Linked DNA regions of Canis lupus familiaris. The protein of the gene in region 4 interacts with the protein of the main gene of each other region in a pairwise test. Links are inferred from orthologs where the notes say so. Each region holds a gene or a part of one and is shown on either strand. Other genes may lie near its edges. The genes, in order: GLYR1, NIBAN1, RAI2, FHL2, CSN2, NRF1 and BANP.

Region 1 (4,205 bases), on a different chromosome or scaffold from region 4:
AATAACAAGAGAGCTGAACAAATCACTGGAAACTCAGGTAAATATGTATTCTCCTCCTTACTGTGACTTATATGGCCTATCAGAGAATCTCAAGGGAATGGTCCTGATTTCACTGTGTATCTCACACATGAACCACAATGATAAACAGCCATTAAAAGAGAGCTGAACGTGGTCTTTATAAAAGGAACTACTAAATTAAAAAAAAAATTTTTAATAAAAGGAACTACTATGGGATTGGATAAAGAGATGTGAGAAATGACATTACTGTGATTATCATATTTAAAAGAATCCTATTTCTCACCTGACTGACATTGTTATTGGCCACAGAACAATTCCTATGAGCTAAGAATATATTTAGGTATAAAGCCAGAACAATATGCCATTCTCACAGACTACAGTAAAAATGAACTAGGGTCCCTAGAATATTCTCATAAGCAGCTCAGATCCAGGGCAACGCCCAAACAAAGGGAAAGTGAAACTCCCAAACAGCACTACTCACTGATCTTCTGTTCCAAAAAACTTCACAAAGAAGCATTTCTTGCCACGAGGTTTCTTCAAGTCTTTGGGTGGATTAACAATCTGGGGAGTAAAAGGCGGAAAAAGGTTTTTCACACCTCTAAGTTGGTAGGAAAAAAATGAAATAAAACAAAAGGAATATGTTTAAAATGAACCCAGGATCTAGTACCTGTCCAAATCTGGCACGTTTCTACTGAGATGTGTGGAAATGTGCAAATATTCTAGTTCCCTACATGTACCATGTAGCAGTGTTCAGTAAGTAGAATACCCCTTCTACTGCAATGGCCCTGTTTTAATAGCAGTTAAAACTAAGATCAATATCAATCCCCTTCAACCATGTGACCCTGTGATCACTGAAAAAATGCACAGAACACTCTTAAAAATATTTCAGTGAAGTAATAAGGTGGTGACTATGCTTACTGGTAAGCACTGGGTAATGTACAGAACTACTGAATGAATATGCTGTACACCTGAAACTACAACACTGTATGTTAATTATGCTTTAATAAACAAACAAAACAACTGTGCAGGAAAAGTTGAGACAGGTAATAATAATAATGAAGAACAACAGAGGCAATGAAAATGCCATATTGCAAAGAGACAGTCTAAAGACATATCCTGGGCTCCTAGCAAGAATTTAAAAACAGAACATTTGGAAAGCTATGACGGATCGCCTCATGCAAAATCTGGAATGCCAACTTCTGCAAAGATGCACTGGAGCAGCACATATGGTAACATGGAAAGAAGATTTAAACTTAGTTGGGACAAAAATACTTTGACTTTTCACTAACCTACATTTAGATTCCGCTCTTCCTGGAGAATTTATTTTCTTCTCCTTTTGTTACATTTAAGTACAAGGCTAAAATTCAAATTAGAATTGATTTCCAGGATTAAGAAACTTCACCAAAACCATCTCTGGTTCAAGAGATAAGCATTTACTGCAGATTAAATGACCTGGTTTATACTGCACTGTCTTTTCTAAACAAACTGAAGAGTAGAGAGAAAAAAATTGTGTTACTTAAGTCCAGTTTAACTAAATGCCGGAAACAGAGAGGAATGAATCTTAACGTTCTTCACCTTCTCAAACCCAACTTCAGACGTCTTCCGTTAGTATCAAGACACTCACCTTTCCTGGCCAAGGAGGATACCGGCCGAGTTTCCCCCTAGAGAAAACACACAGTCAGCATTTGCCCTGGAAAAGCCAGTCCATCTCCTTCAACCCACTCAACATGAAATGTATTTTCCTAACTCTCCACCTGCACCCTCAAGTGCCAAAACAAAAGCTGGCAAACAGCAGTTCTTAATTTGGCTTCCGCAGCTGGACCCAAGAAGCCCGAACTCTTCAGAAACGAAATGCGTAAGTGCAATAAGGTATGTGCATTCTTGCGGCGACAAGGAATACAGAACAAACGAAACCAATCAGGAGTCACTGGTCTAGAGCCTCCCCAGGACTGGGGGCTTGGGGCGGGGGGGGGGGGGAGCGTAGTTTGCTCTGTAAACACAGACTTCCCCTTACAAAGTCTGGTTTAATTCACCGCGAGACCAGCCCGGCTTTGACACAATGCTAATGGAAACCTTCCTCTGGGTCGAGAAGTGAGCTACGTCGCTCCAGGGAAGCGGCGACGGTCAGTCTTGGTTCGGGCGGTTGTCTGGGACACGGAAGCAGACCACGAGAGGCACCCAAGAAGGCAGCGGTCACTGCCAAGCCTTCGGCTGTAAAGGAGAAGTCCCCCTTCCATTTCTTCACGGGGCAGCGCCAGCAGTCCGGTTTCGACACCCCGGGCCAAGTCGCCCGCACAGGTCGGCTCCATCGCAACGCGAGTTTTGACGGGCTTGCCCAGGCGAGGTGGCCCCGCGGGCTCCCCGGCTCGCCCGCTTCCCGGGGGGGAGCCTCAGCAAGACCCCAACGACCCGGCGTCCGCGGGGAGGCATGCGGCGCCGGAGACTCCCTTCGCGGCGGCCGCCGGCGTGCAGGTGCGGAGCGCAGCCCTCCCCCGGGCGGCCTCGGGGCTCAGAGCCCGGCCCGCCGCGGCCACTCTCGGCCTCAGTCCCCCGGGGCCGGGCTGCCCCTTCCGCCCGGCGTCGCTCCCGGCGCCGGCACCTCGTCTCGCCCTCTCTCCGCAGCCTGGAGCGCTTAGAAAGGCAGCTCCGGGGCCGGCCGCGAACCCCGCGCCCAGTGGAGGAGCTTCCCGGCGCACCTCGCTTAGCCCTGGCCGCCCGGACTCACCACACCAGATCGCCGAGCCGCAGACTCACAGCCGCCATCTTACCACCCAACCACCGCCGACGCACGGGCCGCCGGGAACACCAAGTCGCCCCGGCGCCGCCCATTGGAGTGCGCGCGGCCACGTGACGAGGGGCCGGCTGTCACCGGCCACGCCGCTGCCTTGACGTCACCGCGCCCGCCGCAATTCATTGGCCGGCCCAGCGGCACGTGACGCAGGCGCCGCGGTCTCTGCGCGCCGGAGCCCGGAGACTCCCGGCTCCTTCCCCCTCCCTCCGGCTCGTGACAACGAAGCGCCCGCGGTCCGAGGCGGCGGAGGCGGCGGTGACGGCGCGGCCGGCCGAGCGCGCGAGGGAGCCGGCCCTGCGGCCCGCCCCGCCTCTGGGCTCTGGCCTCCTGCCCCCTCCCGTCCGCGCTTCCGTTGCGGCCGTTAGCCCCGCGCCGGGGCCGGCCGCGTCCCCACACCGGGGCTGCCCTGACGGACCTCGGCGCGGCCTGGAAGCCAGCCTCGGCCCGCGCGCGGCGGGCTCTGCGCGGCCTCGCCCGGGGGTCTGACGGGTCCTTCGGTGCGCGCTTTCTAACGGCCGGCGCCCGGGGAGCGGCTCGGAGCCCGCGCCCGCCGCCTCAAGTTCTCCCGGGGCGCCGGGGCCGCCCGCCCGAGGTCGCGAGCTGCTCGACCGACGTGGACCCGGCGTCTCTGCGCTTCCTCCGGGGCCGGCGCGGCGGCGGCACGGCCGGCGAGGCTGCCCCGGGCGCGCGGGGACCCAGCCATGGGCCGCGGCGCGGGCCGGCCGCCCGCCGGGAGGCATGGCTCGGGGGCCGGCCGCTAGCGGCGCCGCAGCCCGGGCGCCCGGGCCGGCATGAGGACGGCCGCGGGGGGACGAGTGCGGCCCCTGGGGCCGTAGCCTGCGTCGCGCCGGGGACAAAGGTGCGTGTCTTTGTCGGGACCGGGCTCTCCCGTCCGCCTCGTTGTAGTTTGACACTTTTAGAGAAGTTGGGAGCTGGCTGTTGTGACAACAGGAAGGCAGATGCTCGCGTAGTTGGGAGTCCGTGAAGCCCAGGGCGTTGAATGGGGAACTGTTTACAGCAGCCCAGCGCGGAGCTCAAACCCCCCCTTCCCCCCGCTCCCCGGGTACAAAACAGCAATTTTTTGGAAAGCTCCAGTCCCAGTCGCAGGCCCCCAGTAGCCTCGGTGTTGTCGACCTTAGAGTTTCTCAAGAGTCGGTCTCTGCTTGAGAAGGTGGCGGATCCTTAACGCGTCTCCCTGTAGGTGTTTTTGTTGTAGACTTTGGTTGTGAGCACGTTTTGTTTTGTTTTGGTGGTGTGGTGGTGGTGGTGCCATTTGGCTTGTCCGCAGCCTGCTTTTTCCTGGAATTCAGTTTCCCTAACCGTACCGGCCCGTTAGTTTCAGGAGCTGTCATTTATACTGTTTTGTATTGTCCTCCGGACAAGCCAGGAATTGGAA
Region 2 (4,108 bases), on a different chromosome or scaffold from region 4:
GTTAACAGATGACACTGTTCATTTGATTAGAAGGAGGTCTTACTATTATTTATGAGTTGAAACATCTTGATCAAGTGAAGTCACTGAAATTTTCTAGAAGCAATACTAAAAATGTATTCTGTGGTAAGAAACATGAGTGTGGGAGTAATTTTCAAAGCATCTTTAGAAATGAAGTAACTCCTTAATACTTCTGATATCCTTTTACCCAGAAATTTACTAAATCCTAAAAAATAATGTATTTTTGAAACAGCCATGTGACGAACATCCCTATTAATACAAGTTTTGATGCACACAAACTAAACTGCAGCTGTTAAATGATTTGTCTAAAAGTAAAAGCTGATTCAGACTCATTAGCATGCCAGAAGTACAGCTGCTTTAACACATACAAGATTAAGCCAACAAAACTCACTCCAAATATACTGACTAGTTATTCTCCATATGTTAGCAAAGTTTATCAAGCTTGAAGGAAAGTTCTTGAATCAGCTCTAGGAGCTTTCAAATCTCTAACAGTTTACTGGCAGCCACTTTATGAGAAACAGGTCATAAAATTGTATCTAAACTTTACTGTCATATTTTCAATTGTTCTGTTTACAATTAGATCAGAACTTGAGAAGATGCATGGGCTAAATGATGGGCAAAGTGGAGAAGACAGGATGATTTTTTTTTTTCAGGGATCTGGGGCTTCAAAACCATCAGGAAATCACAGCCCCATGACCTTCATGTGCTCATGCAGTAACAATTCAGAACGCCATGCATTTTTCCAATGCTCTTTTCTCTTTTGGCAAGACTAGTATTCTCAAATGAGGCAACGTCTCAGTTTCTCTGGAGGTATTCTAACTTTAACTCTTCTTTTCCCTCTGCCTCTACATACCTTGAAAGTGCTCTCCCAAAGAATAAGAAGATAAAAATTGAACAAGACTTGTGGATGTAATGACTGTTATCCAATCTGCAATAGTTTTATTCATTCAGAGCATATCCGTTACAAGTCTTTCTTGTGCACTAGCCATCTCATACTTTCGTATGTACAATCATTTAATTTCCCAATAAAATAAAAGCTAACATATTTTCTCTTCACATGAATACAGTGCTTGCAGCAGCAGCAACAACTGTCATGACCATGAAGTCTTCAAAAACATGAATCCCTTACATTGCTGGACTTTCAATTATTACCGTAGATGGCCACGATTCAACGTTAGGTGTTTTTAAGCTTCGTGGTGAAATAAAGTCTTCTAAAATAAATGGCATAACCATACTTTGCAAATAACTGAATGCAAACCCCTTCTGACTATGTCCTACTACAGTTTTTTCCGTTCCTTACAACGAGCACATAGCCAAATTTGTAAGACTCAAGGCGGCCTTAGTTTAGCTGTGTTGCTAATATAAATAAGTCATCCATCTTTCTCCCATTTTAAATAAACGACAGCAAAAGAATACCTGTCCAAGTTTTATCCCCTGACAATGGGTTGTTGATGATCCTCTACCTCCAGAAGCACCAGAGCAGGAGGAAGAATCTGGAAAGTCAATTATGTTGCTCTCAAGTGCCCTGATTTGATATCCTTTGAAAATGGTTTTAAACTGAAAACAAATATGGAATAAGGACACTAAATAAATGCTTTCCTTGTAGGAAAGGTTCAGGGACCAGAAAGAGAAGAACCTAAACAGGATGAACTTAACCATTTCTTTACAGAATTGGGGTAAAACTTAGAGCTCAATACGTAGTTTAGAAGGTATTTCTAAAAATAGAAAATTACCAAATTCGTAAGATAACCCAATGTTAGGTAGTGGTTGCGGACAAGGTTGCCAGGGAGGAAGGGACCAGGGCCAAGTACACCCAGGAGATAGAGTCATGATTTTCTGCAGTTTCAATTCAGTTTGTTGGGTTTTTTTTTTTTTTTCTTCCTGCCTGTAGTGAGTCACCGTATCTCTGGAAGTCTCCCCAAATGAGTTTGTCTCCATCTATAACTTTAGCAACTGTTAACGGAATACGCCAATGTTCCTCTTTTGCCTTGCCCCCATCTCCGGGAAGGGAAAAGGAACCGTACAACCTGGGAGCTTCATGACACGGTCCTTTCTGCTTCTGATGAAATCATCCCACAAGCCATCCGAAAGTTCCAGTGAAGCTCTGGCCGACGCGTCGTTTTGCAAAACCAGGCCAACCTTACCGGCAGGGAAATTCTGCTTTAGAGGCCGGGAATCCCCCGGGAAGTCTCCAGCAACCAGGGATATCCCCGCGGCTCCCCTCGAGGCAGGTCCAGGGAGAGCTCGGAACGGAGGGAGCGCGAGGCGACCCCGGGCCCGCACCTGCCGCGACCCCGAGGGTCCCGCGCCCCCTCCCCGCCGCCTGCACCTGCCTCCCGCGGGCGCGCGGCCGCACCTCCCCGAGCATCCCCGGCCCGGGCCCCGGCGGCGGCGGAGGAAGGGGGCCCCGCGGTCCCCGCGCCCGCAGGTGGCCGCCGCAGGTGGAAGCGCCCGCGCGACGCGCCCCCGGGGGCCGGGTGGGCGCGGCGGTGCGGGCCCGGGCGGGAAGCCCCCGCGTACCTCGGATGTAGGTGCACTTGCCCTCGTCCAGCAGGCTGGAGGCCGAGCCGCCCATGGCGGCGGTGCGGGCGGTGCCCCCCGGCGGCGCCGACAGCTCCCGAGGTCGCGGCCACGGCGCACCCCGCTCTGCAGTTAGAGGAGAAACTTCCTCCGCGAGGCGCCGCCTTCTGGGGCGCCTCCTCCAGGCCCGCGCCCTCTGAGGATCTGTGGGCCGGCCCGGGGGCTGTCTTCCCGCCCTCGCTCCCCTGGGGAGCTCGGGGGCGGGGGCGGGGTGTCCAGCCTGGAAAGACCCGCTCCTGCCGTCGCCTTGCCGGCCTTTGCGGCTCCTCCCCGCCGGTCACGGGCAGCCGAGAAACACCTTCGGCTAGGTGGACAATTCCCCTAGGGACTGCCAACCTCTGGGAGCTGGAACCTTCCCCACTGACGAGCCACGAGGTGGAATTCAGGACCCCGCTGCTTTGCACGCCCTCGGGGATAAGCAACAGCCGTCCTCAAGAACCGCCTAAGAAGTTGTTAGAAATGCAAAAAAATTGCAGCCCCCGCACCCCCTCTGTGACCCGTCTACACACGCGTACGTGCGCACCTGCGCGCACACACCCTGCACCCCAATTAGAAACTCCAGGAGTGGGGCCCAGCAATCTGAGTTTTCACAGGCACGATGCCTGCTGAAGTTTGAGAACCGACAGTAAACTGTACCTTCCTGTAGCTAGAAAGATGGGCCAAGGAGGGGTTGGGGAAATGAAGGGGGCGGGGGGGGGGGGGAGAAAAACAGGAAAAACCTAAGCCTGGGTCCTGCAATATGTTCTCAGTCCTGAAACTTCTGAAGACCCCATCAAAGTCTGTTCTTGCACCTTTAGATACAGTCCTCCCCCTTGACAAACTGAAAATAGTTCATTAGAAAGGGCATCTATGGGACGCCTGAGCGCCTGCCTTTGGCTCAGGGTGAGATCCTGGAGTCCCGGGATCGACTCCCACATTGGGCTCCCTGCATGGAGCCTGCTTCTCCCTCTGCCTGTGTCTCTGCCTCTCTCTCTGTGTGTCTCTCATGAATAAATAAGTAAAATCTTAAAAAAAAAAGAAGAAGAAAGAAATAAAAAGAAAGAAAAGAAAGAAAAAGAAAGAAAGAAGAAAGAAAAGAAAGAAAGAAAGAAAGAAGAAAGAAAGAAAGAAAGAAAGAAAGAAAGAAAGAAAGAAAGAAAGAAAGAAAGAAAGAAAGAGGCATCTATTCTTTTTCCCACAACTACTATTTAGCTTGGCAACCTCTCCCAAATAACACTCAACTGGGGCAGGAGGGTCACCATGCATTTCTTCCTATTCTTAGTAATCAGATTTTTAGTGATTCCTATTGACTTAACCTCCAAGGTCACATGGTCTGTACACACAAGAACAAGGCCTGAAGAGGACTTGGAAGGCTTTGCCCTCAAAAGTTAATTAACTAGCATTCTAACACCAAGATTTCTCATACCTCACACCCAATCTCTCTCACCCTACACTTTAATCTGTCAATAAGTCCTCTCCATTCTGCTTTCAAAATATATCCAATACCTACCCATTTTTCACCCCTTCCTCT
Region 3 (3,567 bases), on a different chromosome or scaffold from region 4:
TCATCAGTAAAATGGGCATCATTCTAGGACCCCTCTCATAGTGTTCTGAGGATTAAATGAAGTAATGCATGGGAAGTTCTCAGCATTCTTGGCAGAGACCTAGCACGGCACGTATCAAATGCCCAGTGAGTTTTGGCTCCAGCCATCTGTGAAAGGAGCAGGGGCCCTCTGTCCTGGCAAGGTCCCCTCCTCACATTCTGAACAGGAAGGTTCTGGGGGAGTAGGGGCCTAGAACTGGGCTAGGTGGGGAGAGGAGTGAGGTTTCATGGGAAGAGATGAGCGCCACCACCCGAACTGAAGATGTGTGCCAGGAGCAGGGGGAAGAAGCATCGAGAAGTCGGCTTTCTCTGTGTGGGAGGGGACAGGGGTGCGTGAAGGAGACAGAGATGGAGGGAGGCCGTCTCGTTGGGAAGGGCAGGTAGGTGCAGCTGTTACAAGAAAGCAGCCTTACAGCTGGGTAATCCTAAACTCACAGGAAGCCGGAAGATGGCACAGAGCATGTCTTGACCTCTCCCAGTGAGTTGCCTCAAAGGCCACCAGAAGCCACCTCAGATGGGTGGCCATGGGTGTCTTCTCTCACTGCTGCCGTCCTCGCCCTCACCGGCCCCATCCCAGCTTCCCTGTAACCTTTTCCCACCCCTCCCTGGGAGTTCGAGTCACTGTCTCCTGCCTCCTTGATGCCTTCTCTCTCGTGCCAGCAGATCTCTCGCTCAGAGACATGCGCCCCACTGGCCTCTGATGTGTGCTAAAGCAGGAACCTTGTGGGACTGGCTCCTGCCGGCATCCCCAGCCCCCAGCAAAGCGCTGGTGTGCAGTAGGCATTGAGCACATGGAGTGGTTGCACGAGTGAATGGATGCGTGCATGCGTGCATCCGGGAATGGGGGAGCCAGTGGTGCGTTGGAGGCATGATACTTTGTGGTCTAAGCAGGCCCCTTCGGTTGGGGGCAAGCCCCCTCAGCTTCCCCGGAGTGGGCTGCCTCCCTACCGTGCCCTAAAGGTATCATCGGCCAGCCCGCTGGGTCACCTCCTGGTTTCCAGAGGACCCCCTGCGTCTAGGGAGTCAGGCTCCGGAGCCCTCCCTCAGAGGCACCAGGGCTCGCTCTGCCGAGGGGCGTCCCCCACAAAGTTGTTTACAAGGCATCCTTCCCGGGGCCCTCGCCTCCTCCTGCTTCAGAGAAATTCCTTGTTCTGTGCACTTGACACATTTTGATGGTCTGGAAATACCACACAGTTGTTCATTTGTTAACACGGCCTTCCCGTAGTGAGGCCTACTGCGTTTCTTTGCACCCTCGCGGGCTGCTGGGCTGCCTCTCCTCCTCGTGGTGGAGGTTGTGTCGGTATTTGGGGGTGACCAGAGGAGGACGCGAGGTGACCCCGGGACTAGAGTCCAGACGGCTCCAACAGGTGAGGTCAAGATTCTGAGTTGCCCAAGGCCTGCCTGGCGAGCCTGAGGATTATTGAATTATTATTGAGCCCAGCCAGACTCCAGGGCTGCACAGATCCCCGAGTTAGACATGGTGCCTGCCTTCTCCATGGCAACCAGGCTAAATATGGACGCGTTTCCATGGAGAGCCATCTCGCAGTTGCAGCCCTGCTTCCTCCAGGCAGCACCCGCACTGCGTTCCTTCGGCCTCTCAGGAGGCGGCCAGAGGTGCCCGCGATGTTTGTTTCCAGCAAGTCTTCCATCTCCCCGGCCCTAGAACAGCAGCACCCCCCGCTTGACCAGCTAGAAGTTAGGAGAGGTCCCGGGTCACAGACATGAGCTGACTGCGGAAAGCGCCCCTGGGCCCGATGAGCACTCATGCCCTTGTCCCACGTCCACGTCCACCGGCTCCGCGGAGTGGCTTCTCCGTTATGGGAGGGACAGGGGATGGCACCCGGTCGGAGGGAGTCCGTGACACAGCTGCCACGATCCCTGTGGAAATGCACCGCCGTCCCTTTCCTCAAGCCTCCTCGGGAGGAAGCATTGCTACAAAGAGTCTTTAAGATGCTTGCCGTAAGCCGGGTGGCCCTCTTCGGTTCTCTTAGAACGTTCTAACGTGACAGGATTTTATTTTGTTCTCGAAGTGAAGTAAGTCTTCGCTGCCCATTTGCGTGTGGACGAGTCAAATCTGCACACATCTTGACCGTCCGGTAGAGCACCGTGGGACGGAACTTTGTGTTTGGCGAAAGCTAAACATATAAGCCGAGTATTAGGCTTAAAAATACTCTGTTTAACCTCTCTTGGCTGTTTAGTCATTACATCATCTGTGTTTATAGCTTAATCGTCTGTTAAATTGGGCCTCTCCGCGCACAGCTGATCATTTGGGTGTGTTTGTATATATTAGGAAATATCTATAACATGTATGTATACAGAGAGAGATGGGTGTGCTCCCGGTTCACTAAGATACGGAAACTTTTAAGAGACGCGGAGAGAGCGAGCACTTCGGAGGGGAGGGTCATAAATAGTCTCTTCTGGAAGATTCACATCGTGCGTTCCGTGTTGCAGGCCCGGTGGCATCAGAGCCGAGTGATGGATGACCTGCGGTCCCAGAACCTCTCCATGGACATGACCGACTCCTCTCCCGCCTTGGCCAATAACAGACTGGAGAATGGCATGGCCCAGCTGATCACCACCGAAGCCTGGAACATCAACTCCACTGACCTGGTAAAGAAGGCCCTGGTGACCGTGCCGGCCCCGTCCATCCTGAACCCCCCGGCCGAGTCTCAGAGCGGCGTGGCTCTGAAGGTGGCGGCCACCGTGCTGCAACCCCTGTGCCTCGGGGAGAGCCCGGTGGTGATGCCCATTCACATGCAGGTGGAGGGAAGCTCGGCGCCCGAGCTCAACCCTAATGGCAATGCCACCTATGTCATGACCACGCAGGGCCCCGTGCAGCTGCCCGTGGTGCTGGAGCAGCACGTCTTCCAGCACCTCAACTCCCCTCTGGTCCTGCCACAGGAGGCCCCGTGCTCCTCCAGTGCCATCCACAACAACCTGTTCCAGGGAGCCGAGGACCCCGAGGCCCCACCCCAGCTCCTGGACCTGCGGATCCCCAGCCAGCCGCAGGAGCCCACGTTGCCATTTGAAGCCGTGCTCCAGAATTTGTTCCCCTCACAGGGTGCTCTCGGCCCCCCACCCTGTCAGCCTCCTCCTGGATACGCCCCGGTGCCCCCCCAGCCCTTTAACTCCCCGCTGTCCCCCCTGGTGCCCCCGGCCACCCTCTTGGTGCCCTACCCTGTGATCGTGCCCTTGCCCGTGCCGGTCCCCATCCCCATCCCCATCCCGGTGCCTCAGAGTCCTGAATCCAAGCTCGGCTCCAGTTTCCCCAAGCCGCCGTCTTCCTTCGGCCTGCACCCCTTTAAAGGCGGCCAGCCCCCCCTGGAGAAGGAGGAACTGAAGCCCTTCGATCTCCTCCAGCCGAGGGAGTACTTCCAGCTGAGCCGCCACACGGTCATCAAGATGGGCAGTGAGAACGAGGCCCTGGATCTGTCCATGAAGTCGGTGCCCTGGCTGAAGGCGGGCCAAGCCAGTCCCCCCGTCTGCCAGGAAGATGCGGCCCTAGACCTGTCGCTGGCGGCCCACCGAA
Region 4 (4,057 bases):
TAGATCAAGGCACAAGATGGTTGTGTATTTTTACTATTCAGTGGGTTGCATTAGTAGTGTAGAAATTAGCATATTGCTCATTAGCTCCTGCAGGGAGCCTGCTTCTCCCTCTGCCTGTGTCTCTGCCTCTCTGTCTCTCATGAATAAATAAATAAAATCTTAAAAAACCCAACTAGTTATATCCTGATAAAATTGCTTATCTAAAGCTTAATTTATGTTTTTTTTTTAAGTTTCCATCATTCTAATTCCCCATCATTATAAGTATTTGAATATTCTGGCTAAATGAAAGAAATCACAATGTCATATAAAGATAACTAATTTCAAAGAAATAAAGTTTGAATGCTTGGTGAAAGGACATTGATCATAAATTTAACAAAAAGCAGATTACCAAATGACCTGATGATATATTTTTTTCTTAATTAGAAGTTATAGTTCTCCATATAATTTATTGTTTTCAGATGCATCCTAAAATACATCAATGTGGAGTGGTATATAGTGAGAATTTCCCCCCCCCACCTTTTTTTTTTTTTATTTTATTTATTCATGAGAGACACAGAGAGAGAGGCAGGGATACAGGCAGAGGTAGAAGCAGGCTCCATGCAAGGAGCCCAATGTGGGACTTGGGATTCTGGGATCACACCATGAGCCAAAGGCAGACGCTCAACCACTGAGCCACCCAGGCGTTCTTTCCTTCCCTCTCTTGTAAAGCTAGTGTTAAATTAGTGGCTCATCTCAAAATCAAAGACTTCTTAGAATCAAGAAATAGGATAAACAATAAATGTAGTAAGACCACACATAATTTTTCATTTTCTTCTCTCTGCTGGTCTGTATTTTCTGGCATATATTTGTACAGTAAGATACAATGAAAGAAAATATAAACACTATGAATATAATTTCACCTCTTTCTTTGGTGGTGTTAAAAACAGGACAACAGGCCCCAAATGGAGTCACTTATATTAAGCTCCACGTCACCAAACACACCTAACCTAAGTACAATTTTGGCCTCTTCCAGTAATGGAATTTTAAAGCAGTCAGAACTCACCTGATGAGCATTAGTTAGGTCATCTGCCTGATAGAGCCCTGTCATCCTCTAAAGGAAAGTAATGTTGGAATAAACAGTCCACTTTTTTTGTCCCATGTACCTTCCTAGTTCCTGTTCCCTTCTGTCTGTAAAGGTCTTCAGTTTTGTACACACTGCACAGCCCTTTTCTGTCTGCTGGGTGGGATACTGCCCAATTGATGAATCATTGAGTAAAACCAATAAGATCTTTATAATTTATTTGGTTGAAAAAAATTTTTTTTGACGGTGGGGAGAGGACAATTTAAACTCAGTTTCTTGGCCATCTATTTTAAATCTGAAGTATTTTAGACACCAGTAGACTATGTAGGTCCCTGTGTTAAGAGCTATCAGATTACAGAGAGAAATATGACGTGGCCTAGCCTCAGGATCTGGAACCAATGGAGAACTCCAGAAGCACTAAGTGGGATGAAGAAATCTAATAGTGCAAAATGCATTCAAAAACAGGCAAGATTGAGTGAGCAGTCAGGGAATATTTTAGGGGAAACTATGCAACTCTTCATGAAGGTTATACATTGAAGCATTTTCTTAATATCAGAAAAGGCCTCGAAAATGTAATTGTGTGAGTTGAGTAGCTGGCTACTGCTTTAAAGACAAAAACTCTCCTAAGATTGGATGGATCTCAAAATGTAATAGGTTTGATTACAGCACATCATGTTATAAACCTAGCAATAAAACAAAATTCAAATAGCATTCCTCAAGAAACAAATAAATAAAATAAAACCAGAACAAACCTATATAGAGCAAGTCCATGATAAAATAACATCAGCCAATAACGCAAGTGTTAATACTATCTTTTGACCTCAGAATTATTTTTAAAAAATGGCCTGGTAATATCTCTTTTTATTGGATTAGACCTGATAAGGTGCCTTGCATGGAGTATGACTAGAGGATGTTAACATGTATGACACCTATTATCAGAATATGCCATCTTATCAGTGTTAACATTATTACACAATTGGCCCAAGCATTACTCAATACTGTGCATTTGCTCACATCCTGCTCTAGAAATTAGTAAATTAGTAAAATGTGAATGCATTTCCTTTAAGCACACAACAGCTATCTGTACTTTGGAACCGTCAGCCGTAACAAGTCATCTTGTATAAACATACTTTCCCAGCCTAATCAGACTCCTCAGTAATTTGCCTCCTCACCCCAGGCCATCCGGAAATTCTGTCAAGGAGAAAAAGCTCCAGGGCACTGTGGTTTCCCCCCTCCCAATGTTTATTTTATACTTTTTTTTTTTTTCTTTTTTCTTTTACAAAAAGCTTCCTGGTGTTCAAAACTCCGTGTAGTTCCTGTTTCCCCGTCTGAGAGGGTAAGATGAACGGAGGGTTCCCTCCGTGTTCTTTCTACTCCCGGAGGCACCTGCCGTGGGTTTGGAGCAGCGGCCAGGGCCAGGTTCTGTTCCTTCCCCACAGCCCCGCAGCCCCGGGCAGGAGCTGGCTGCAGGCGGGGGCCCGCTGCCAGGCCACTGGGGCTGGGTTTGGGGTCTGCAGGTGCACAGTGCCAGAGAGCTCCCTCCCGGGGCAGGAGGCCGCACAGCTGGCAGCGAAGCCTGGGAGGACACAGGGCACAGGGAAGGAAGGGGCCCCGGGGAGGAGGAAGCTTACCTGTCCTGTCGTCTGCCCTCGGCGAGCCCAGGGGCCAGTGGGGAGGCAGGGCCCACGCTCGTGGGCTGCTCCTGCAACTGTGTGTGCAGCTGCTGGCCAGCTGCCGCCTCGTGTCAGCAGGGCTATAAATAAGGTGCTGTCCAGAGCCCAGAGATAAGAACCCAGCCCCTCGCTCCCGCGAGCCTTTTAAGGTATCCAAATTAAAGGAGCCTCGGCCCCCAGATGGGAAGGGGTGCCAGCTCCCCATTTGGCCTGCCCACCTCAAGGACACCCTGGGCCTTGCACACAGTCCAGCAACCCAAGGAGGAGTGAGAGGGGAAAGCCGAGCGCTGGGAGGGATCTCGCTTGGTCAGACAAGTGGTGGAGTCCCTGGGGGGCTGCAGGGGCTCGGATGCTGGGAGACCCCCCCACCCCGAGATCAGGGCCGGCGCTGTGGTACAGAAGGGGGAGGAAAGTCATCCAGGCCACACAGTGCCCTGGGGTGTGCTGTGGGTTGTCAGCGCTGCCTCTTGCTAGGAGCACACGGACCCTCTTCCCTGGCTTCAGGGGTATTGGTTTGGGTGAAAAAGATTCTAGGGGAGATTCTAAGGGATCGGCTTCATGCTGGGCACGTGGGAGGCCGGGAATGCAGTCTCCTTATAAAGGCCCTCTCTCCCCATTCCCACCCCCCACTCATGCATGATTGGGGGGATTCTTGGGCCACAAATCATTTTCTTTATAGAGCTAATGCAGAAATCTTATGGAGCTTTTTTATTTTTATTTTTTAAGATTTTATTTATTTATTCATGAGAGACACAGAAAGAGAGGCAGAGACACAAGCAGAGGGAGAAGCAGGCTCCCTGCAGGGAGCCCAATGTGGGACTCAGTCTGGGATCCCAGGATCATGCCCTGAGCCAAAGGCACCCAACCACTGAGCCACCCAGGGCTTTTAAAAAAACCATATGCTAGAAGAGGTCAGAGAGGACTAATCTGGGGTAGCAATAATTCCTGATTCACCCCTAAATTTCTTAATTCTGGGAGGCTTTTCAGCCATGGCTGGGGTCAGGTGAAGGACAACTGAGGTCAGCTGTTTGGCAGCAGCTGTCTGCCATATGACAGACATTCCACATCTGGGAATTTATCCTAAGGAAAGGATCGTGGATGTCAGCAGAGATACAGCTCCAGGGACATTTCTTGCAGGTTTTTTAATAATTGGGGAAAGTTGGAAACAACCAAAATGACTAACAACCGAGACTGGTAAAATGAGGAATAGTATAGCCATGAAGGAAACACTGCAACCTTTGGAAATGTCATAGAAGAATATTTAATAACATAGAAACAATATGATGACATGTTGGTAGTGAAAATGCAGGTCACTTTAAGGGAA
Region 5 (4,142 bases), on a different chromosome or scaffold from region 4:
ATGGTTGGAAATTTTTTGTGAATAAAAATATCCTACCTCATTGGATAGAGTGAGTTCTTCCTTCTGTAACAGAAAAAAATACCATTCTAGTTTCCATGGTTAACTCATTCTTAAACATTTTCCCTATATGATTTTTATCTTCTTTATGCAGAGCTATGTGTTTCACAAACTTGAGAAATAAAAAATGCTATATTGAAAGACTTGAAAGGTAGTTATTTTTATGTCTTTTATATTTAGTAACTTTATTGATATATTTTCTTCTTATGTGAATAAACGTTTTTAATGGCTAATAGAAAAAAATTATTATAATTTGTTTTAAACAGTTTATTATTATTACAAATATATTTATGATTATGATTATCGTGTGATACTCCATCCTCTCTCTAAATGTCTTTGGACAAACACAGGTAGAATTGGGCCCAGGGCCATAAGGTAAAGATACATATATTTTATTACTGGAATAAGATATATTTATCTAGGGTGCACATGCCTGCAATCATATTTGTGCAATATTATTATTGTCATGTTTATATCCATTTATTTTTGTTTTGTCTGTTTGCTTATCTGTCCATTTGCTTTTCTTTTTGGGACTGATAGCACAGTATATACCACTGTATACCATTTGACCCAAATCTGTGCTCCTATTGCACACTGTCAAAATAATGTGTCATGCAAATCATTTTCCAGGAAGTCAAAATAAATCTGTTGAAATTCTGCTTTATTTGTACTTTAAAAATGTTGAGGATATTCTTCTCTCCACATAGGTAGATACTCCATTCTATCCTAATTAGACATTTGCTTACCTCTCTTGCAAGAGCAAGAGCCACAAGGCAGGCAAGGATGAAAACCTTCATGGTTATCAAGTCCTGTCAATGAGGAAATGGAAGAATGGTAATACCTTGGTCAAGCTATTTTCTTAATTTAGCTAGGATTACTTTCCTTTTAAAGAAACTAAAGATAATATGTAATAAAAAAAACCCTGTATTTTAGAAAAAAATACTAATAGATGCTTTATCATACGGGCAAGGTCAAAATCTACTGTGGCTCTTTACTCTTACATGTCATTTTCATACCATTCATATTTTTTCATCCATTACCATTACCCTACCTCACTCTTTTTCATCTCATTCACAGCACTATAGTTGGGTTTTTGGAAGGACAGAAAAAAAGTTATAAATATTTACAGAAATATTTACTAATTGATTCATTTGTTCAAAAATATTTATTTAACATCTTTTATTGCCAGACACTATCTAGGTACTGGGTTGATAGCAGCAAACAAATGTCTCAGCCTTGATAAAGCCTCAGTTCTATCAGGAGGTAACTGATCAAAGAAAATGTATATGCAGATTATATTTTCTTTTATCTTTTTTTTTCTTTTTACTAAACCAATGGTTTCCATGAATATTTGTTTAGTCATTTCCATATAATAATGCCTCCTCTCTTTTGTGCACATAACTTTAGAGATTGTACACTGTATTTTTTTTTCTGATTTCTTGATGATTTACCAAAGTGTCTGGTCCCCTTGCCCAATCCCCACTTCAAACAACCTCTTCTTGTAGTATAACATGATATATATGTTAAAGTTTCTAACCAAAATGTACTAAATGCTTGATTTTGTTGCATTTCTGTAATTGCTTGTACAAAATAATGTTTGTACCACTAATATCATTTGGCATACAATCTTCAATCTCAGATATTTAAACAAATTTCTAAACTAAAAATGTCTCATGAAAAAAGTCCCTAATTCATCTGCAAAATATCCCTTCCAATATTTGAAGTCTGAAAATTATTCTTACTTCAGAAAAAGATTTTCTTTTCTAGATCTTTCTCATGGGTACTATATAAACTTTAATTTTACTTTGCCTAAGAGCTTCAGAAGTTTCCAAATAATTTCTCATTGTCAGGACCCCCAAAAAAGAATATAGCATTCTATTAGAGATCATAATGTGTAGGAAGAATCTTATTTCATTTTCTATATTTTCTAATTAGCATTTTATATATTAATTTTTTTAGCCAGAACCTCATTTTTTACCAATGTATTCTATAGTATTCTTTCTTTCAAATCTTCTCTTTCTTTTGCTTTAGTTTCAAGTCATCTCTGTATCATCTTTTTTTCTTTTTTTGGAATTTTTTTCCAAAGTAAAAACATTTTCCCTTTAACTTAATTCTGTATTTTATGTCTATTTTAACAATATTTTGAGCTATTATAAACCAAATGATAAAGGGGGAGGTTGGATACACTAAATAAATTTGAATACATATTTCTGAAAAAATATTTATAAACATTTCAAGTAGTGCATATCCCCAAACAAATTCTGCAGTTTCTTGACTCAATATGCTACCTCTAAAACTACTTTTGGGTAAAAGTTTCCCATTAATTATTCATATCCCAAACCAACAATTTAAGTATATTTTCTTTTATTGCTTTAGTATGTTTAACCAACTTGGAAGATTTATTAATTCAAGAAGTAGATTTTTTAATATAGCTTATTCATTGGCTTTGTATTAAAAATGGTTATCATTATTACTACATTTTTTAGACTCATAAAACATTTGCACTCATAATTTTTATCAAATGTTCTTAGATCTTTCTATTTTTTTAACCTAGGTATTGAAAATAGTGTCAGTGCTATTTTAAATACTCTTATTTCAAAGATCCTATTTTAAGCAATTATTTTCTTCATATAATTTAGCCTAGTTGAAATAAAAGTGAAGAGAGAATACATAAAATTTATATATGAAATTCTTACCTTTTTTCCAAGGTGGAGTACAGAAAGTGAAGGGGAAGCTAAGTGGATGATGGTCTGTCTGCTTTTGTGGTGGTTTATATACTGTATTTGGTGGTATGCTAATTTTGCGGTTTGAGATAAAATCAACGGTCAGCTTCAATTCCAAGAGGTCCACATGATTAGAATATGATTTCTGCCTATTATCTGTCCCCAGAAATTCTGAGGAGCATTTTAACAAGAAAGCAAATCACAAGCCAATAAAGGAAATCTGTCCAGGAAATGTAATTGTCTAATAACTGGAAGACATTGAGGCTCTGGCCCAATCCACAACTTATTGTGGATGCAGTTAAGTCTCTTCAGCCCTCGTGGCTCCTCAAGATATTAACTGTGAGGGGATTTCTATATGAATATCAGACATACGAGGGACTTCACAGAGGCCACAACTTCACGCCAACCTAAGCAGTTGTTGGTGTTTCATGCTACAGTGGAGAAAATAACAAGATAACAAGTCCATGATGATAGTTTAGTCATGTAAGGCTAACTGCTAAGCTCCCAGAACTACTTGATTTGGGAAGAATAAATTTCTCACTTCAACATTGTGTACACAAGAGGAATAAATTTTCCTCTGTAATGAAACATCTTAGAAAAGGAATCTATCTGGATAGCTGGTACAGTGAAAATTCTTGGTAAATCTGTAACAAAAATTTTGTAAAATGTCATGCAGACTTATTTACCTGATAAATATTACCTTTTTCTATTTCAGGCATAATAACCTTTATTTTTTATGCTTACTATACCCCTATTCCAGGCACTATGTGTTTTACAGACATTATCTTGTATAATCTTTACAAAAATATCATGAGGTAGTTGTCCTTTCCATATTTTGGTTGAAGAAATTGAGACAAGAGATTGAGTAACTTGCTCAAATCATATTTTCGTTAATTGCAAAGATACCACTTAAAACTAGATCTGTCTGACTACATGTATTTCTGTTTGTTCATATGCAGTGTCCATGTTTTAACTCCTTTTATAAACTCTGTTATAAAACTTGTTCTTAATGTAGCATTTGTGCTTAAATGTGTAGGATTTAATTATGCTTGAATTGGAGGAGTGGGGCATTGGTGATGAGTGTGGGCAGGGGAATTGGTTATTAAAGAGCTGTGCTTTTAGTTAGACCTGAAAAGAATAAGTAGTATTTTAAGAAATGATAAAATGTGAATAAAGTATTTTGGCTGAAGGAAAGAGGAATTGAAGAGAAAAATACCACATTTGGTGGGATTTGTACTTCAGGATATGTAGAAGGCAGAGAGTATAAAACTACTATTGCAAGGGTTTGATGGAGTCAGATCATAATGCCTTTGAATTTCAATTATGCAGGGTGACATAGTTCATTGGAAATAAGGAAAGATA
Region 6 (4,337 bases), on a different chromosome or scaffold from region 4:
GGACTTAAAATAGGGCCTGACACAATAAGCACAGGTGAGAATTACTGGGTATGATGATAGAAGAGCCAAAGCGCTCATGTAGGGAGATGGGAAAATGTTTCTTGGAGGAAATGGCATTAATGTTGAGGCCTTAGGAAGTAGCAGGAAGTATTTAGGTTTAAGCAGGTAACGAGAAGGACTAAAGAGTAAAGAAAGTTCTGTGCAGAGAGAGCAGCCCTTGCAAAAATTATGAGGTGGGAGAACTTCCTGCCTGGTATGACTTGAGAGCTTCCTGATTTGGCTGCAGCCTGAGGGAGAAGTCTGTGGCAGATGAGGTCAAAGATGGCAGCAGGGGTGAGGTCACCAAGGGCCCTGAAGCCAACTCAAAGAATTTTTAGAGGCTTTAACTTATGAGCAATGGGATCTTATTAAGCCCAGTAAGTGGGGGAAATGACATGATTTTCTTTTTTGAAAGACTGCTCAAGCTACAGGGCGGAGAATCTATTGGAGAGCGCAATTCCTGTGGCAGGGAGACCATGAAGTCTTCTGCAGTATCTTGATTAGAGATGATTTGGTAGCACTATCCATGCATCCTAAGGCAATGGTTCTTAAAATTATGGCGTTCATGAGAATTGCCAGGATGACGTGTGAGTAGGGGGCTGTTAAAAATTCAGTTTTCTGGGCTAACAAGCCATGATTGTGGAGACACCAATTCGGGTCCAGAATTTAAGTAATCAGCCCTAGTGATTCTGATGCATGTAGTTTCCTAAGCACGCTTTTAAAAACCAAGAACAAAAGCTACCTGTCCTATGCCTCTAACATTAGATTTTCTGCTACCTTCTCCTCCTTCGTTCTCAGGCACCTGCTTGGGGGTCCTATTGCTTCTGACTCCCTGCACACGTACAAACTCCTTGGGAGCAAGGACTTCATCTTTCTAACAGGTGCATCTCCAGCGTGCCCAGAACAAGACTGGCACAGAAAAGGGCCCTCTAGAAATGTCTGCCAAACGAACGAATGAGCAGATAAGTTAATATATTGCTCAGAAGTTTTAGAAGTCAATATACATTTTTTTGCTTTTAAATACCTGGTTAGGGTTTGGGAAACAAAGGTCATTCCAAAGAAAGGGTGAAGGCGCGACTGCCAAGGCTGAGGAAAACGCGGGGAAGCCCGTTCCCGACTGTCGAGGCTCATTCAGGAGGTGCTAGAATTCTCGGGGCTGCGGGGCGAGAAATGTTACTATTTCCAGATTAGCAACCATCTTGGGCTGCCCGCGCCACTCTCCCGAGAGTCCACACTTGACTAATCCAGTTGCCTCCGAGGTTCCGGTCCCATCCAGCCCCTTCAAACTAAATGTGGCCTCCAGGAGACCGCACGGGCCGGCAGGGACCCTCGCCCAGAAGCCCCTCCGGGCCCGCCCCGCCGAGGCAGCGCCGACCTCCCCATCATGGCGACCGCCGGGCGGGGAAGCTGAGCCCGTGCGTCGCGTGCGTGCCTCCTCTCCCTCCCCTCCCCCTCCTCGGCGGCGGCGGCGGCGGCAGAGGCGGCAGCGCTCGCCATTGCCGCTGGTGGCAGGAGGCTGCGAGGAGCCGGCGCGGTCGCAGTCTCCACGGCGCAGGCCCACGGTAGCGCAGCCGCTCTGAGGTGAGTGCCCTACCGCGCAATCTCCAGCTATTTCAGCCCCGGCGCAGCCGCAACACGCCGCCCGCCCGCCGGCCGGCCGGCCCGCCCCGCAGCCTGCACCCTGCCGCCCCCGGCTCCGGGCCTGGGCCTCTGCCGGATTCGGCCCGCCTCGGGCGGGGGGCCCCGGCCCGGCCCAGTCAAACCGCCACCCCGAGGATGCGCAGGCCGCAGTAGGCCCCAGGCGTCCTGGCGGGCTCGGGAGGGAGGCGCTGCCCTCCCGAGAGCCCCAGGGTTCCGGCCTCCCCCGCCGCCTGAGGCTCTGGGGGCCGCGGCCTACTCTCCACCGTAGAACCCGGGGCCCGGGCCCGGCCTTCCCGCGGGCTCGGGAGCGGGAGGCCCGGGAGAGCGCGCCGGGCCCGGGAGCGGGAGGTGGGCGGGCTGCGCGGGACCGGAGCCGCGGCTCCCCGCTCGCCCCCTCGGCCCTTCCCGGGTCTGGTCCGCGGGCGGCGCGGCTGGCTGGGCCGGGGCGCGGGAGCCGCTGTCTTCTGCGGGAGAGGAGGCAGCTCTTCGGGCGGCCTCCGAAGCTTCCCTCCCGCCGGGGTGGCGTGGGCTTGTTACCCAGGTAGACCGGGGGACGCTGGAATATGGCGCGTTGCCCACCTTCTTGCAAGTTAGGAGGCGGCCCGGGCAGCAGCGGCGGCAGTTCGAGGGAGGGCGCAAAGTCCTTTTGTACGCAGAAATAAGGAGCGACATTGTGTTTTCTTCCCCAGCTGGGATACCGCCGGTGGAGGGGCCTCGGTTCTTCCTGTGCCTGGGGTGGTGGTCCCCTGGGTGAAGAGAGGGGGAGTGGCGCGACCCTCGGAAGGAAACGAACTGTTGCTACTGTAAAGGCTCTGACTGGCCTTGTGCTTGGGTATTATCTCATAGCCCCAGCCTTTCGGGGGAACTCAAGGGTTTGCCCCTGCATGTTGTCCACCTCGCTGTGCAGTGATGTCCACCGCCTGTCTCACCTGTTGGGTCGTTGCTGCTGGTGCCAAAGTTTCTACAGGGCATCTGACTGTGCACATCAGAACTTGGAGTTGTTTGAAAATCTTAATATTTTTAGAGCTTCGAATGATAATATGCTCCAGCCTGTTGGAGGAGCTGTTGCCTGATCTCCATCCATTCTTAAGCGTTAGATTAGAATATATTAATTGCTTACTTAGAGCTGGTGTCAGTTATGCTTAATTCTTTTTGTGGTGAGAGTAAAATTCACATTTTCTTAAGTGTGTAGAGACAATGTTTTTGAAAAACTGTTAAGGTGAAGGCAGTGTGAGTGAACCTGTCAGCTTGGACAGAGCTCAGGAGAATGGGTTCGCGCATCTCACCTTTTTTCCCAGGGCATCCTCTGTGCCCACAGTGATCCTTTTCTTATTTCATGTCCAGCCTTTTAAACAAGAATGCTTTACTTTGGCATTGAACAGTAAGTTCTTGGGTTGTTCTTTACTCAAGGAAAGGTGGGAGGAGGGCCTTGGAGACCCCGAGTTTTTGTTTTGTTTTAAAAATTCAGTAGTAGTATCCAGATTTGTGTTTGAATGTTCTTGATGTATTATCTCATAAGGTAGTGAAAATATGACTAGAATCTGCACGAGTGTAATTTCCTTATTCTATGAGCAGGAGAGGAAACATACAATTAACACATGTAATGTATATATTCTGGGGTTCCTAAATTGTGTGCAGAACTGTTTGTGTCAAAGGACTTTTTTTTTCTTCTTCTGACAGGAGTTAGATGTGACTTTCGACTAGGTCCATGACAAAGACAAAAAATAAGACAAGAAGTACTACTTACTATTTTTTGGCACATCCTTACTTAAAGTCCTTTGATTTCATCCTATCTGCTGTTTCCCTCCCCCCATCTCAGACTCAATGTATGAGAGAAAATGACTTTTTGCTTAGTAGTTAGTGATCATATTCTCAGCACCCCCACCCCCCCAATCATCTTCAGGCCAAGAGTTTTCATAGAAGTAGATTTCTTAGGCGATTTTAAGGAAATTTAGCTCTTGGATTTAGGAAATAACTCTAAAAGCAGGAGATAATGAGAGCACTTATCCAGATCTAGAAGGGATTAAAGAAGAAAGGATTTCAGGTTCCTCTCCCAATTCATGTGTATTCCAATGGAACCCAAAATTGTCGGTTTCTTTTTATTAAATCACAAATATACTTCCATCTCTAATTTTGTTAGGGAGCTGAAGACAAACTCCTGGTGATTTAAATACCTGAATTTGCATTGTATACTGTGAGTTCAAGCAGCCCCCTGGGTTGTTTTCAAGAAGTATTTTATGTGAAATAATCACAAATGAGTGACTGTTTTAAGGGAAATTTAAGCTCCTTGGGGGTCTGGAATTAAATTTTTTATACTTCTTATAAATAATGCATTCAGTAAATGTTGGGGAATAATGATGAACAGTAATTTTTCAAATTAAAAATTTTTTCATAAGTATTTGAAAAGACATTGACTTGGTTTTTGGAAGGGCCTTTAGAAGCACACCCTCCCTCCAGTCCTATGGAGAACAGGAAGTTCTTGCATATGTTCAGCTTCTGTCAGATCTCTTTAGGCAATCCCAGTGCTTTGTGCTGCAGTGGTCTTGTTCATCCACTTCGTGCCACTGTGAAAAATGGGAGAATTGGAGTGTAAAGCGGGAACTCTGGGTTGTTGAGTCTCAGAAGTGTCTGCTCTAACCTCAGGAATTTCAGTGCAC
Region 7 (4,084 bases), on a different chromosome or scaffold from region 4:
TGCAACGCGGAGATGACCACGGGGACAATGCTCAGGGCATCGGTTCCACTGACGGATGGCATCCATTACCAAGAGAGGCAGCAGAGCAGAAAGACAAGAACGGGCTCTGTAATTCCTGCTCACAAGGAGCAACTTGCCACAAAGGTGATCTCTGCTCATCCCATTAAATTAATTTTTAATTGCATATAACAATCCCACAAGAAAGAAAATATGACACAGACAAGATACTTTGCAAATTTCTGGGAGACTGATAGGATCTAATGGAGGCAAAGGAAACCACAATCTGGGGCATACAGGAGTGGGTACAGCCAAAGTGGGTAAGCCTGTGGCAGGCCAGAACACTCAGCAGAGCACAGGCCGTTTCTGCTCACACCCTCCCTAGACCAGGTAGACCAATCCCAAATCAAAGGGATCTGGTCTTAAGCTGTAAGACCCACAGAAAAAGTCTCTGCAATCTGGCACTCAAAGTCCCACACAGTAACAAGTTCCCAATGACTTGAGGGGAGACCCACACATTTTCAAAACCAGCCCCACAGACTCAGAGCTCTCTGCCCATTTCCTCTTGCTTTAAACAACAATTACCAATATTTAAGGAATATTTGCCACATGAAGTATGAAGCCAATATTTTTTAAAAGGCAACAATGGCACTAGAGGAAATAAGAAATCAAAGAACAAAAGAATTGAAAAAAATCCCATGTTGGTATCCTCAAAATCAAGAATATGTTCACAAGTAGCTACTGGGGGGGGGGGGGGGGCGGGGAGAACACATAAGTTTTTGATCAATTTTCAACTGTGGAAATAAAAAATTTTAAACAGGATTGGAAGATAACTTGAAGCCCTCTCCCAAAAAAGAGAAGAAAATGACAAAAGAGGATAAAGACACAAGATTCAGTGGGTCAATCCAAGATGTCCATCATCAAAATAAAAGAGTAAATGCAGGGGAAATTGTCAGATACAAGAGGATTTCCCAGAGCTGAAGGGCAAGCGCCCAGAAGCACTGAACATCCACAGTGAGACTCCACATCCTAGGGCACTCTGGAAATGTCCTAACACCAAAGCGGATTGTAAGGAGTTACTCAAAACGAATAAGACTATTTGGCAGAAATGATATTGAAATGAAGAAAGCCAAGATTAAAACATGGAATCCTGTACAAACTGGGATGTATAATAAAGGAAAATATCAGAAGAATACTTGTACTGGCCTGAGTAATCAATCCAGATTAGAAAAAGAGGACAGAGGGCTGAGGAGGATGGGGGGGAGGGAGGAGTGGGGAGTTGGAGAGATGACCTTATCCCTTGATAATTTACAACGTAAAGAGTCAATGGGAACAGAGAATGCAAAGAAAAAGAAAGGCCACTACAAACAACAGAAAAAAACAGAAAGCTGTAGAAGTGAAAAACAGTATTTGCTCGGTCTTAAACAATCTGAGTCAAGTGAACACAGTGAATTAAGGGGATAGAAAAGGTGGGATATGATAGGAAGGGCTCAATCATCGTATGATAACAGAATGTCAACAATGTGTAAGACTAATAAAATACCAAGGTACTCTCCAGAGCTACGGAGACCTTCCCCAAGAGCAAAAAGATGTTAAGTCTTTGAGGAGTAAGACGGGGCTGTTGCTCTTCAACCTAAGTTTTCCCCTGAGGGTTTACCGTGTGCATGACTGCTAGATGTATTATTATTTAAGAGCACGGACCTCGGAGAGAGGAGTTCAAGGCCTTGGCTCCCCGCGTCTTGGACGAGTGTCCTAACCCCGGTGGCCGGTCACCTCTCTAGATGGCTGCGATGAGAAGCCCTGGGAGTGGTCCGCAGGCCCAGCCACAGCACAGAGCGCGGGCACGGCAGCCACTTCCAGACCCTAAGGCCACGGGATGTCCACGGAATCCAACATCCTGAGCACATGTTCTCACTTTAGTGCAACACAAGGGAGAACGAAGCTAAACAGAGACGACTCATCTCGGGGGCTGTTCCGCGGTCTCCCCGCCGCTAGATCCTCCAGATCCTCTAGATCCTCGTATGCAGGGCGGTCCGGAAGCGGAGTAATGGGCGGGCGGTCCCCCGGGTCCCTCACCTGGGGCGACCCCTGGACTACCCCGACCTTGGCGAGGCCGGGGGGTGCAGCCGGTGCAGAGGGCGCCAGGGGCGGCCAGCCCCGAGCCCCCCGAGCCCCCCGGCAGCCCCCGAGCCCCCGCGTCCTCGAGGAGCGCCCGGTGCAGGGCGCCCACCGGGGGCGGGGCGGGGCGGGGGTCTCGAGGCAAACCCCAGGCCGCACTCCCCAAGCCTGAGCGCTCCCCTCCCCTCCCCTCCCCTCCCCGTGAGCCCTCGGCCCCGCGGGGCGGGCACACCGGGCGCAGGGCGGCCTGCCCGCGGGCCCCGGGCGCCGACTGACAGGGGAGGCCTGTGCCCGGGTCCGTCCGGGGCGCGGCGCGGGGCCCTCGCGGGGGGCGGGGGCGGCTGGCGGGGGCGGCGGCGGCGGCGGCGGCCGGGGGAGCCAGAGCGGGCGGGGAGGGCGCCGGGAGCGGGGCGCGCCGGCGGGGCCGAAGGCGGCGGGCCGTTGGGCGGCCGCGCAGGGCGTCCCGGGCGGGGGCGGCGGGCGCGGGCGCGGCGGCCGGAGGAGGGCGCAGGGAGGAGGGAGGAGGGGAGATCTCGCTCTCGCTCTCGCTCTCGCCCCGCGGGAAGGGGGAGGTGGAGACGCGACCGGCTGCGGGAGCTGCAATTACCGTGTGGGCTGCGGAATTCTCGTGGTGTTTGTCGGGGAGATGCGATAATGGCGTCCGTCCTCGCGAGAGAAGCCGCCGCTCTGCGCAGGCGCCGCGAGTCCCTCCCCGCGGCCCTCCGCCCCGCCCCGTCTGCGCAGGCTCCTCACGCGGGGCGCGCCGGGCCCGGGGACCGGGCCAGGGGGCGGGGCCTGCCGCTCCAGGCCTCCCGCGCGCGCCTTCGCCGGCGCCGGCGACCGCCGAGCATGCGCACGCGTCGTCCGGCCGCGCCACGGTTGGGGCCTGGAATCTTTCCTTTCCCGGCGCGCGCTCCGTCTCCTCGCTAGCCCCGTGAGAAGTCGCGTCGGTGGACCGCGAGAGGAATTTACGTTTCTTCAGAGGCTGAATGAATAGGAATTAGGTGCGCGCGACGACTACATATCCCGGAGGGCTCTGCGCGAGCCGCGAGCTGAGGTTCCTGGGAATCGTAGTCCCGGCGTGTGCGCCAAGCCTGCTGGTACTTGTAGTCTCTCCGGACTCCGGCCTCCCGTCGGCGCCCGCGCCCGCCACTGCTGGGACTTGTAGTTGGAGACGGGGGGCCTGAGGCCGCTGCGACTCCGAAGGGGTGCCCCCGAGTAATAGCTGGTGCTCCGGGTCCCCGGAGTCTGACCACACTTCCCAGGGCTCACGCGTGGGGGAAAATGTGTGTTCGTGGTGTGACCTGTCCCGTGTGGAAGTAATCTCTGTGTGTGCGTATGTACACGAACATGCGGTGTGCATGTGGCTGTGTTACACGTGTGTAGCATAAGTGCTGGTCTGTTGGTGCTCGTGGGGAAAAACCACTGGCTGTACACACCATCCGGCAATGTTACTCCTGCTCACTGGTATCACTGTTGCTCTTCTTGTGCGTTGGGGTTACCCTGCTTTTTGTTTTCTTCTTTACACTTGCCTTTGTTTTCTGAGTTGTTTACAACGGGCAAGAATTTCTTCGGTCGTCCAAAAACAAGACTGTGGAGCTATTTTCATTTGGAAAAGAAAATGCTCTACTGTTTCTGTAACTTTCCTGCCTACTTCCCTTTTTGCCGATGATAAAAACCTGATTCTTGGAGGCAGTAACGAGCTGCTTGCCCTTGGGCAACCTTGCTAGTAATAGTCTCTTCCAGAATGCACACTTGGGGGATCTACCGAGGCTGATCTTTGGCTTAGCTTTACAGGAAAGGTGCCTTGAAGAAATTACAGAGAACAATCACAGAAGATCGGTGCTGGAAAAGATGCTCGCATTGAAATGAGAATTGTCCTGGGAGGAAGGGAAATTGCTCAGCAAGGTCACACTGCTGGAAGAAGACAAAACCAGGGTTTAGAAACCAAAACACTCTGGTCTAGAGT

Evidence for each region.
Region 1: the proteins of FHL2 (region 4) and GLYR1 interact in binary tests that used the Homo sapiens proteins (3 or more experiments, as listed by UniProt). The two-hybrid records come from large-scale screens. The link is inferred for Canis lupus familiaris from reciprocal best matches to the Homo sapiens genes FHL2 and GLYR1.
Region 2: the proteins of FHL2 (region 4) and NIBAN1 interact in binary tests that used the Homo sapiens proteins (3 or more experiments, as listed by UniProt). The two-hybrid records come from large-scale screens. The link is inferred for Canis lupus familiaris from reciprocal best matches to the Homo sapiens genes FHL2 and NIBAN1.
Region 3: the proteins of FHL2 (region 4) and RAI2 interact in binary tests that used the Homo sapiens proteins (3 or more experiments, as listed by UniProt). The two-hybrid records come from large-scale screens. The link is inferred for Canis lupus familiaris from reciprocal best matches to the Homo sapiens genes FHL2 and RAI2.
Region 5: the proteins of FHL2 (region 4) and CSN2 interact in binary tests that used the Homo sapiens proteins (3 or more experiments, as listed by UniProt). The two-hybrid records come from large-scale screens. The link is inferred for Canis lupus familiaris from reciprocal best matches to the Homo sapiens genes FHL2 and CSN2.
Region 6: the proteins of FHL2 (region 4) and NRF1 interact in binary tests that used the Homo sapiens proteins (3 or more experiments, as listed by UniProt). The two-hybrid records come from large-scale screens. The link is inferred for Canis lupus familiaris from reciprocal best matches to the Homo sapiens genes FHL2 and NRF1.
Region 7: the proteins of FHL2 (region 4) and BANP interact in binary tests that used the Homo sapiens proteins (3 or more experiments, as listed by UniProt). The two-hybrid records come from large-scale screens. The link is inferred for Canis lupus familiaris from reciprocal best matches to the Homo sapiens genes FHL2 and BANP.

What each region holds. Positions count from the first base shown.
Region 1 is NC_049227.1:36,873,241-36,877,445, reverse strand, and holds the start of GLYR1 (putative oxidoreductase GLYR1), read right to left. Parts: upstream 2,867-4,205; 5' UTR 2,848-2,866; coding exon 2,744-2,847; intron 1,680-2,743; coding exon 1,643-1,679; intron 580-1,642; coding exon 500-579; intron 1-499. UniProt on the Homo sapiens protein: Cytokine-like nuclear factor with chromatin gene reader activity involved in chromatin modification and regulation of gene expression. Acts as a nucleosome-destabilizing factor that is recruited to genes during transcriptional activation.
Region 2 is NC_049228.1:18,054,273-18,058,380, forward strand, and holds the start of NIBAN1 (protein Niban 1), read right to left. Parts: upstream 2,860-4,108; 5' UTR 2,594-2,859; coding exon 2,539-2,593; intron 2,158-2,538; exon of another isoform or gene 2,059-2,157; coding exon of another isoform or gene 2,046-2,058; intron 1-2,045. UniProt on the Homo sapiens protein: Regulates phosphorylation of a number of proteins involved in translation regulation including EIF2A, EIF4EBP1 and RPS6KB1. May be involved in the endoplasmic reticulum stress response.
Region 3 is NC_049260.1:13,958,943-13,962,509, reverse strand, and holds part of RAI2 (retinoic acid-induced protein 2), read left to right. Parts: intron 1-2,489; 5' UTR 2,490-2,513; coding exon 2,514-3,567.
Region 4 is NC_049231.1:39,049,552-39,053,608, reverse strand, and holds the start of FHL2 (four and a half LIM domains protein 2), read right to left. Parts: upstream 2,833-4,057; 5' UTR 2,692-2,832; intron 2,397-2,691; exon of another isoform or gene 1,302-2,396; intron 1-1,301. UniProt on the Homo sapiens protein: May function as a molecular transmitter linking various signaling pathways to transcriptional regulation. Negatively regulates the transcriptional repressor E4F1 and may function in cell growth.
Region 5 is NC_049234.1:60,457,544-60,461,685, forward strand, and holds the start of CSN2 (beta-casein precursor), read right to left. Parts: upstream 2,805-4,142; 5' UTR 2,754-2,804; intron 867-2,753; 5' UTR 855-866; coding exon 804-854; intron 64-803; coding exon 37-63; intron 1-36. UniProt on the Homo sapiens protein: Important role in determination of the surface properties of the casein micelles.
Region 6 is NC_049235.1:7,073,111-7,077,447, reverse strand, and holds the start of NRF1 (nuclear respiratory factor 1), read left to right. Parts: upstream 1-1,472; 5' UTR 1,473-1,620; intron 1,621-4,337. UniProt on the Homo sapiens protein: Transcription factor that activates the expression of the EIF2S1 (EIF2-alpha) gene. Links the transcriptional modulation of key metabolic genes to cellular growth and development.
Region 7 is NC_049226.1:65,737,978-65,742,061, forward strand, and holds the start of BANP (protein BANP), read right to left. Parts: upstream 2,847-4,084; 5' UTR 2,723-2,846; intron 2,122-2,722; exon of another isoform or gene 1,699-2,121; intron 1-1,698. UniProt on the Homo sapiens protein: Controls V(D)J recombination during T-cell development by repressing T-cell receptor (TCR) beta enhancer function. Binds to scaffold/matrix attachment region beta (S/MARbeta), an ATC-rich DNA sequence located upstream of the TCR beta enhancer.